2 linked regions of the Caenorhabditis elegans genome follow. The protein of the gene in region 1 purifies or fractionates together with the protein of each later gene. This does not show direct contact. Each region holds a gene or a part of one and is shown in the gene's direction. Other genes may lie near its edges.

Evidence for each region.
Region 2: the proteins of glo-4 (region 1) and rpm-1 purify together in Caenorhabditis elegans (affinity purification with western blotting, with the first as the bait; one study listed by BioGRID). This does not show direct contact.

The regions. Positions count from the first base shown.
Region 1 is NC_003283.11:9,240,111-9,245,263, reverse strand, and holds the start of glo-4 (X-linked retinitis pigmentosa GTPase regulator homolog), read left to right. Parts: upstream 1-2,042; 5' UTR 2,043-2,099; coding exon 2,100-2,259; intron 2,260-2,357; coding exon 2,358-2,603; intron 2,604-3,217; coding exon 3,218-3,291; intron 3,292-3,585; coding exon 3,586-3,735; intron 3,736-4,037; coding exon 4,038-4,256; intron 4,257-4,711; coding exon 4,712-4,936; intron 4,937-4,985; coding exon 4,986-5,140; intron 5,141-5,153. Other genes in the region: aat-2 (Amino Acid Transporter), read left to right, coding at 1-584. UniProt on the Caenorhabditis elegans protein: Could be a guanine-nucleotide releasing factor for glo-1. May play a role in gut granule biogenesis. Regulates axon termination in PLM and ALM neurons.
Region 2 is NC_003283.11:8,816,672-8,821,790, reverse strand, and holds the start of rpm-1 (E3 ubiquitin-protein ligase rpm-1), read left to right. Parts: upstream 1-1,835; coding exon 1,836-2,022; intron 2,023-2,090; coding exon 2,091-2,314; intron 2,315-2,755; coding exon 2,756-3,189; intron 3,190-3,327; coding exon 3,328-3,772; intron 3,773-3,918; coding exon 3,919-4,063; intron 4,064-4,114; coding exon 4,115-5,119.

The DNA.
Region 1 (5,153 bases):
CCTTCGGAAGCAAGATACTCATGCCATTGTTTGTTTCCTTTTCCTGCGTAGGTTCCCTTAATGGAATTCTCATCACATGCTCCAGAATGTTCTTTTCTGGAGCTCGAAACAGTCAACTACCTGAACTGTTTGCAATGATCTCAATCAGACAACTTACTCCGATTCCATCATTAATTTTCCTTGGTGGAACTTCAATCGTCATGCTCTTCATTGGTAACGTGTTCCAGCTTATTAACTATCTGTCATTTGCTGAATCACTCGTTGTTTTCTCTTCTGTCGCTGGGCTTTTGAAATTGAGATTCACAATGCCTGAAAATGTGCTAAACGCCCGTCCAATCAAAATCAGTCTCCTGTGGCCAATACTGTTTTTCCTTATGTGCCTCTTTCTTTTGATCCTTCCATTCTTCCACAGTGATCCATGGGAACTCATTTACGGAGTTTTCTTGGTACTTTCAGGAATTCCCATCTACGTTCTCTTCGTCTACAATAAATACCGTCCAGGATTCATTCAATCTGTGTGGATAGGCTTCACACATTTCATTCAAAAATTGTTCTATTGTGTCCCAGAACTCTCCAGTTCCTGAAAATTCTGTTTTATTGTCATATCCAAACCCGTGACTCTTTCCGTTGTTCTTTTTTATTTCCACAGTGTGCATTTTTTGTTTTTTTGTTTGGTTTTTTTTGCTCCCAGATCTTTCTGCGCTTCCGTTATCAAGCGGACATATCTCAAATTGACACAGCATTTTTTTGCTATTTTATCCGCTCCATATCTAAAATATATCTTTATGTCATCATTGAAAGTTTTGGTTTTTAGCACCTAATAACTTATTTTCTCGAATAGAAATAAAACGTTCTCAATTTTAAAATTGTTAATTATAAAGCAAAAAACATGCAAAACGTTTTAATTATTTACCCAGAGAGAGAGAGAGAGAGAGAGAGAGAGAGAGAGAGAGAGAGAGAGAGAGAGAGAGAGAGAGAGAGAGAGAGAGAGAGAGAGAGAGAGACAAGGAAAAATGATGTAGACAATGCACTGTCTCCTCATGTGGACAGTTGCCAAGTTCCGCTTCAATTTTAAGTTTTTTTGCTTCATTCATTTTGAAAATTTAATTGATATTCGAATTTTGAAAAAAAATAATCAAAACTTTTTTCCTTTGTGGATGTCTCTAAGATGCATAATTTTAAGAAGGTTTTCCAGTATAATTTTTTTAGTTTCAGAAAATTAACTGCTTAAAAAGAGCAAAATTAATGTACTCCTCAACGGTACACACTTCTTTTCCTTTTTTCTTATGTAACATTTTCATTCGTTTCGAGACCGGTTACCGTATTCTTTCTCCATAAATCTTCGCATTAGGGTAATATCTACAATTGTTATACCATTTAAAATTATTTGACTTACTATAAGAAGTATCGAACAATGCGGGAAACATTTTTAGCGCGAAATGTTTCCTATGTCCACGAAAAACGCGTCAGCAGTCTTCTATGCCCATTTCCTGTGGAGGAGTGAGACAGAGTGGACAAAAGGGAGAGTGAAAAGATACAGACAGAAACAAGGGTGAAAGGGGAATTTTTCATTTTACTTCTCTTCACGAATAAATTTAATTTTAAAATAGAATGGCTTTGTAACTTTTATATTGTTTTATCTATTACCATTTCTTTGCGCTTTTACACATCAAAAAACTCCCTATCAAGCTGATACCCTAGTCATATGATTGATAAGACAAGACAATAAGTCGAATTTTTTCACCGCAAAATATTTATTTAATTTTCCTTTCTAAATAGTTTTCCAAAATTTGTTTCAAAGAAGTCAGTTCAAAAGTACACCAGACATTTTAACTAGTGCCATTTGTTCTTTTGCTCAGGGTATACCTCGTCATTTATCTCTTCCAAATGTCTTGTCAATCACTGAAACATAACCCTGCTAGTATTTTTTTGAAAATCTCACCCTCATACACTCAACTGAAAGGGTAATTTATTGCTGTGAAGCATGTGTTTGGCACCCCAATCACTCTAGGGGGAGGGATCCCAGAATCTCGGTCTATGTCAGACACTATCAGTAAGAGCCGCACGGCCAACTGGATACACACACAAAATTCGCTAATATGTTCTTCAAACGAAGTACAAATTCTCGTAAAACATCGGCAAATTCAAGTTCTGATACGTCAACTTCTTCAGAATCATTATTGCTTCCACTTCTGAACAATACCAAAGCTGGAGCGCGTTCACAAAAAGGAAGTGTCCACCGACAAAGTGGCAAAAAAGGTTTGTGAAAATATTTTTTTTTTAAACGTGAACAACTTTAAATTGCTCTAGATTCATTGGATGTTTCAAATAAACAATTCAATTTGATAATTTTCCAGCCCGCCGAAAGATGATGGAAAATCCTTACGTGTGCAGTTTGGAACTCGACGAGCTCTCTGCCGATGATTCAATTATTGACTATTCGGTGTTCAGTGATGATTCGTTTCTTCTAATCTTGCTGCTTACGTCAAAAGGAGACGTTCAAGCTTATTTGGAGACAAGTCGAGACACAAAGCCAAGAAAAAACGTTGTAAATATCAAAACGGCATGCTCCCTCAATGTTAGCCCGGTTACTGTATGCATTGGTAAGTTGAATTGCTTAAATTAAACATTTAAATAATAAAAAACTTTGAGAAGTTAATTTTCAAAAACAAATTTTTTTTAATTCTCTAACCCTCAAGACAACTGCTGAAATTGTTTCTCCGACTTTTATGTTGTTGTTCTAGAGATATTTTATACTATCCAATCGGGAAACACCGTCTTTCAATGATTTCAAAATATCCAGAAACTCGTGGATCAGATTTTCTTATCTAAAACTTTCACGTGGCATGTTGTAATTCTAATAAATTTGAATTAAAAAAAAGATTAAGAGGAAGTTTTCACGTTTTGCAACGTGGAACATTAAGAACACAGATTCCTGAAAACTTGAAACACTTGTATCTTCTCAGTGGGTCTCTAAAAGATCTGAACATTTTACATAAATTTGTTTACTTGGTGCAGAAACTGAAGTTTAAGACTTTTCACATTCTAAAATGCATAGAAAAATAAACGATTTACTGAGAAGCATTTATCAACTAGTACAACGTTTTTGCCAATACCTAGTTTCAAAATGAGATTTGTATTATCCAACTCTTTCGGAAAACTAAACTATATTAAAGGTGTTATCTGGCATTCAAAACAAGAAAAAACTATGTTTTAGGAAGTCAAGCAGCATTCGCCATCTTTGGACTTGCTGATGGTAATCTTCTCGTTACTCCAATCAGGCTTCTTATCGTAAGTTCTTGATGTTAATTTGTGGTTTTAAAAACAAATGAAACCAAAAATCAGTTTCGATCAAAACTCATTATGTGTTACGTATCCACAGGATATCGAATTACATGTGTCAATTGTTCGAAAACAGAAAAACAAAAGAAACCGATAGTGTGTCATCTGTTTGTTTTCTGACTTTTCGTACCACAACGCTTCCAGATGATTCTCTTCCAGTATTACTTTGATAGATTACTTCTCATAATGACAAGAATTTCAACAAAAAACCCTGTTTGTTTTTCTAACTTTAAATTGTTCCAGGACGTGACGTGGGGTGGTTCCTCGTGGGCGACAACGACTGTAATTGATTTGAGTCTTCCAACAGTGGATCCTTGCCTGGCCACACCCACTTGCACTAAATGCTTCGTTTCCAATTTTCCACCGTGCACTATGGCTGTGGTTGCAAATAAAGTGAGTTTTATGTGATGAAACTTTGCGTTAGATGAGCCCATCACTCTTTTCGCATCAATAATTATCAATGTGATGTCCAGCGGTGTGAGAAGGGATATCTAATGTTGTGATTTACGGTGACAAAGAGATTGGAACGTCAGAATGGAATGCCATCATGAACGTGTTTTAAAAAGTGAATGGCAGCTGACTGCTCTTGTTTTATTATTTAGTTTCTGATGGAAAACAATAAAAAACATACAATTGTGCAACAAAACGAAACGAAAATATCTACAAAGATAACAACAATTAATGATAAATTGCAGGCTGGGAACATTCTTCTCGTCGATCTTCACCTCAGAAAATGTGTGTCCGAGTTGAAAGCACCGCAAAGTTTGCACCAGATTGACATTCTTCTTGATGAAAACTCTATCGAGTTGCTTGTCACGGGATTTACTGGTGCACAATGGATAATTCCAATTGAAAGAAGTGGAAAGGGATTTCGAGAAGTTTTGACAACATGCGTACCATCAGATCTTACTGTGGTAAGTTTTCTGAATCGCATATCACTGCTCTTATGTTTAAACTAATATTATAAGTTTAACAATACCTAAATTGTATTTTTTTAGGGGAAAGTTGCAGCTAAGGTTTTACACTAATTCTTTCGGGTACTGGATGAAAACGCTATGCTAATAGTTTAAAAGTTATAAACATAGGTCGTCTCTAAACAACACGAAATTCACATAGAAATTTTGATAATACCCTACCCGTTTAATTATAGCCTTAACAAATTAGTTGCCCAATTCAGATGTTTTCCGAGGCGGAGTTTTCGGGTTTCAGTCAGGTTTGTATCGCTGGCTCCTTCTCATTTGCAAAAAATGTTCTGTACACTTTTGTCGGCTTAAATGTTTTGATATATCTGCATTAACTAAAATTTCGGCTGACTTCGTGCCAAGCATGCTTTTATTTTATTTCTTCATGAATCTCTAAATATTTACAGCTCGAGCCGGCAACAATGCAGTTCTTTGCGGCGGATTCATGTGGTGTCGTTGCACTTGACACAACCGAATCAATTGTGGAAGTCTACAATACGTTTCATTCATTGGCACATTCTTCGAAACGAACATTCAAAGTACCTCCAGAGACTTGGATGGTGCATGCTGGTGATAATATGTTGTTCACAGTTTCGAATGATAATGAAATCAGAAGCGCTTTACATTTCGGAGTAAGAACAGAACTCGGGAGAAGAAAAATGAATTCAATATTGTTTTCAGTTCATGTCCAGTCGTCTGGAGTATACTCTTGTACGCACGTCCACTAACTGGCGTCCTCTCGGAATTGTAGCAATGCCATCTCGACCACACAAATTGGCTGGAATATTCGTAGTCAATGAGCGAGGTTTGGTTCGTGTGGAACAGTCGACTGCTTTGTAAGTTTTCTAA
Region 2 (5,119 bases), 420 kb from region 1:
TTGGATTGTTTAAATAATTATGAAATTTCATTTTTTCGATAAACATTGCAATTTTATTATATTTTTATAACAATAAAAATATGTGAACTTTTTGAACTATTTTGATTGTTTTAAATGGATTTTTTCAAGAGTCTCAATTATTTTCAGAAATTTTTAATAAATTATATTTAACAAAATAGATCAGTATAGACACTCTTGATGAATATCAGATGTTTCAGCAGTTGACAACATTGAAAGACATAACACTAGATCAAAAGTATTCAATTTTAATAGTTTTGGATACGCCACATTAATAAAATAATTTGCTGCAATAAAGTTTTAAAAAAACTTGATAAAATTTGGTGCTTATACGATTAATCACATACGTCACTGTTTACACCTTTCTTAATCCAAGATTTATTTATGTACCTACGTCTATTTTCGAATAGCTGAAAACAACTTTTCTATTTCAGTATACATATTTATATTTCAGATTGTTAATAACACTGCCATCAAACTCTTATAACAGGTAAATTTTAAGGTACTTAATACATACCGTATTTTAGAATATTGTTCAGATATCCCACAGCAAAAAAAAACAATCTGATTTGGATACCTCTCAAGAAATAACAAAAGCTTCTCCAAGCTGGCATATCTAATTTCAAATCTTTTTCCCTTTTTTCCGGACCCACACCCAATTTTCTCCTTCTTCTGTCCTCATCTCCGCTTTTCGACACTTCTCACAGATACACACACAAATACACGCACGGAGCCCTTCTTCTTCGTCCATCTAGGGACACCCGTCCCTTGCTCTCCGTTTCCATCTCCTTGCGTCCTATTTCTCATGTCTGACCGGCTGTCCATTACAAGCGAGTCTGTCTCCAACAAAGACAACACTATGTCTCGTTCTCTTTTCTCCGTTTTGGTTTCATCTCACTTTCTGTGTCTCTCTCACTTCTCTTCCTTTCTCAACAAAACGGGCGCATACCCTTTTACGGGGGGTGGGACCTTCTTCTCTTCGTCTCTTCTATGAATGTCCCTCGATTTTCGCAGATCAGCAAAATGATTCGGACAGGAAACTTAATTTCCCGGAGTTCTAGATTTTGTTCATTTATTTAAAAAAAACGTTTTTGTCTCGGAGAAATATCGTTTTGTGATCGGACAGAACAAGGGATAGGCACGTGGTTTGTGAGCGAACGGAAAACAGTAAAGTCTGTCAATATTGCTTTTGCTCGGCTTTATACTTTTTTATTCCTTGGTGAACAAAAATCTTTCACAATTTTCCCTTTTTCCTCTTTTCTTGTAATTTGGGTAATTTTCATTCAAACGCCTATAATATTTACGATAATTGAAAATTCAAAAAAAATTTCTTCAATTGGAGTTGGATTATCGTACCTAAATTATTCTTGAATAAGCGATCAAAGTAATTTCGCTTTCCTGCTAACTTCATCCGATTTTCTTCATTTTTTAAAGCTGCGATATGATTCGAACCTTTTTTTTGTCAAACTTTCAAATATTTTGTGACAAAAAGTAAGGATAAATGTTAAATTATTGCAATTTTCTTTCAAATCTTAAAAAAATCAAGAAAAATCCCACTGGCGCTACGTTCAAAATCACATCTGCGCATATACTAAGCCTGTGATCTTAAAATTTAGTTATTGTTTCATGGTTTTCTTTTCCTTCAATTTTCCTCATATTTCCTGAATGCACATAATTGCAGAGAAATTGACGCCTCAGAGTTTCTCTGTTATTTTTTTTTCTAAATGCCACAGTTAAATTTTTCAGATCACTAATGATGAGAATCAATCTATCCACAATATTTAACCAATTTTATTAACTTTCCAAAGAATATCCAAATGTCGTTCTTCTTGCGAGAAATTGATGGTGAACGAGTGTGTTCCACGAGCACCGAAACGTCGATTCCTGAAGATAGGAAAAGTGCACGAAGACTGAGAAAATTGCTATACAAATGTGCCGAGAACACATGCAAACCGGATATTCTCAGGGTTCCAGCACATTGCGGGAAACTCGATAAAGAAGAAGGTTAGTATATTTTTTTGTAGTTTGGAGAAGTATAAAATAATAAAAATAAAAATAATTTTTAATTTCAGAGAAATCCAAAACACCTCTGGACCAGCAACAACAAATTAATTTTCATGATATTCTGAACTCAAAATTTGTTGTGGGACCACCTTCGCCTTTTGCTTTAGTAGCAATTGCCAAATCAATTCTTGCACGGTTTGGGAATCCAGAAGAAGTTTCTGAAAAAGAAGATGGAAGCGAAGAGGAAGCCGGAACCAGTGGAGCTGATGAAGAGGGAAAGCAATACAAAAATGTGAGTTTTTATAATGTTAAAAAGTATTAAATGAAAAATACATTGAAATTTCTAATTAAGTTTCAAAGTCAACAGCCAAATTTTTTCTAAATTTTTTTTCGAAACGTAGTTAAGAAGCTTGCAAAACTGGGACATAGGTCGGCAAGGAAACCAGAAAAAACAATTATGAAACCGTGTTTTACACATTGACGATATCCCCCCAGCTAGATTCAAAATTGTTTCCTTTTTAAACGCTAAAAATAGAATATGGTTTGAAAAATAATTATTTGAAATTGAACCGGTGAGTAATAAAACAATTTTGGAATACTAAATTACCATAAATTTCAAAATGGAACTGAACATATAACTCTACAACTTTTTGGAACCCGTGTGTGAAATACTTTTTCTTATTAAAAACTGTTTTAAAAGGTGAAAAATGGTTCAGCTCTCATGAATTTTCAGACTGATCAGCTGGTTGGAGCTAGTTTAACATGTATCTTCGAAGTTCTCGAGCAATTAAGTCGACGTGACGCCGAACTTTGTGTTCAAGCTCTCGAATCATTGTTATCATTGATCCAATCGATGCCAATCGATTGTCTTCAGTCCGAAAACCGTTTATCAATGTCTGCAATGATGCACGTTCTGAAAACGCTTCGAGAAGATGCCTGTCCCTCAGTGAGCTCAAAAGCTACCTCATGCCTTGTGGCTTTATCAGTTGCATGTGGAGAGCCGGAGCATTTAGGAAGCACAATTCGATCATTAATTTGTATGAAGAAAAATATTCGAATGAGCGCCGATTCGACGTATGATATGATCCAAATGCCAGAAAATTTGAGAAAATTACTACTGAAAGTGAGGAGGAAAGCTTTAGGCGGAGACAACACTGCCAATTCCCCGTGAGTATTTTATTCAAGTTGAAAGTATTCAAATATGTAGTATTGTGTTCACAAATTTCTTCTTTTAGTAGAATTTCTTAGAAGCTTGCAAAATCCCATGATAGTTTTATTAGTATTTTATTAAATGCAAAATTTCAGACCAAACTGGGCAATGGTAGATGTTCACGAGCACTCGGTAGCAAGCAGTTTCAGTCTACCTAGTCTTCCTGATAGCTCTCCGTCTTCCGACACTCCCGACGATGACAATCGAATACATAGCACAATGGCATGTGATGGAACATTTCTCTACATTCTTAATTATGTTGGACTCTACAAGTTGGGGACCGGCCTGAATGAAACAATTTCTGGAAAGTTGTATGCAGCGAATCAGAGTTTACAATCGTCGAAAAATGTGCAAATGTATTTATGCAATGGATCATTGTATTTACGAAGAAATTACTCATCATGCATATCAGTGATTGACACGGATTCATTGTTGGATATTGGAGAAGTGATTCTACCACCAAGTTGTGTACAACATGCACTGTTCACGGATGGAACATACTTTTACAGTGCAACTCTGATTGCCAATTCTACACTATCGGTAGGATTTATTCTCTCAAATTAAAAATTAAGATATTTAATTGAAACTATTTTTAAACACTTTTAATCGTGAAAATTCTACTTATTGTTAGAAATAAAAACACATAACATGACAGCTCAAAAAAGTTTATAAATAACATATTTCAGACAATTCAACTAAATGATTCATTTTCCCCTTCCAATGAGCCATCATCACGAAGAAGTCATCGACTCACTGATGTGAAGTTCACGATTCAAGGAGATCTTCAAGTTCCTCACCAACTCCCCGAATTTCTACCTGCAAACCTTCATCGTAAGAATAGTAGTTTTGTTTACATGGAAATTTGAACATATCAATTTTCAGCTCAAACTGTTGATCTTCACTTCACTCGAGAAATGGCATTCATTCAAGCTCGCTCTGGAAAAGTGTACTACGCTGGAAACGGGACAAGGTTCGGATTATTTGAAACTGGGAACAACTGGATGGAACTGTGTCTTCCCGAGCCAATAGTTCAAATTTCTGTTGGAATTGATACAATAATGTTTCGTTCTGGTGCAGGGCATGGTTGGATTGCAAGTGTAGACGATAAGAAAAGAAATGGAAGACTACGTCGACTTGTTCCATCTAATCGCCGGAAAATTGTTCATGTTTGCGCCTCTGGTCATGTCTATGGATATGTATCTGAAAATGGAAAGATTTTCATGGGAGGACTTCATACAATGAGAGTGAATGTTTCAAGTCAAATGTTAAATGGACTGGATAATGTGATGATTTCTTCATTAGCGCTTGGAAAATCTCACGGTGTTGCTGTGACTCGAAATGGCCATCTTTTTACATGGGGATTGAACAATATGAATCAATGTGGAAGAGTTGAATCAACTTCAACCACGTCTTCTCCAAGACATTCCGGTCGTCAAGAGTATCAGATTTGTCCTATCGGAGAACACACGTGGCTAACTGACACACCCTCGGTATGTGCTCAATGCGGGCTTTGCTCCGCACGAGGAGTAGCATGTGGAAGAGTTCCTCGACCAAAGGGAACCATGTGTCATTGCGGTGTTGGAGAGTCAACATGCCTTCGATGTGGACTTTGCAGACCATGTGGAGAGGTTACAGAACCAGCACAGCCTGGTAGAGCTCAGCATGTGCAATTCAGTTCAACAGCTGCTCCTCAAAGAAGTACTCTACATCCGTCACGTGTAATTTTAAGTCAAGGACCTCATGATGTAAAAGTTTCAAGCGTAAGCTGTGGAAATTTTCATACAGTACTTCTTGCATCTGATCGAAGAGTTTTCACTTTTGGATCCAACTGCCATGGCCAATTAGGAGTTGGAGATACACTTAGCAAAAACACTCCGCAGCAAGTCA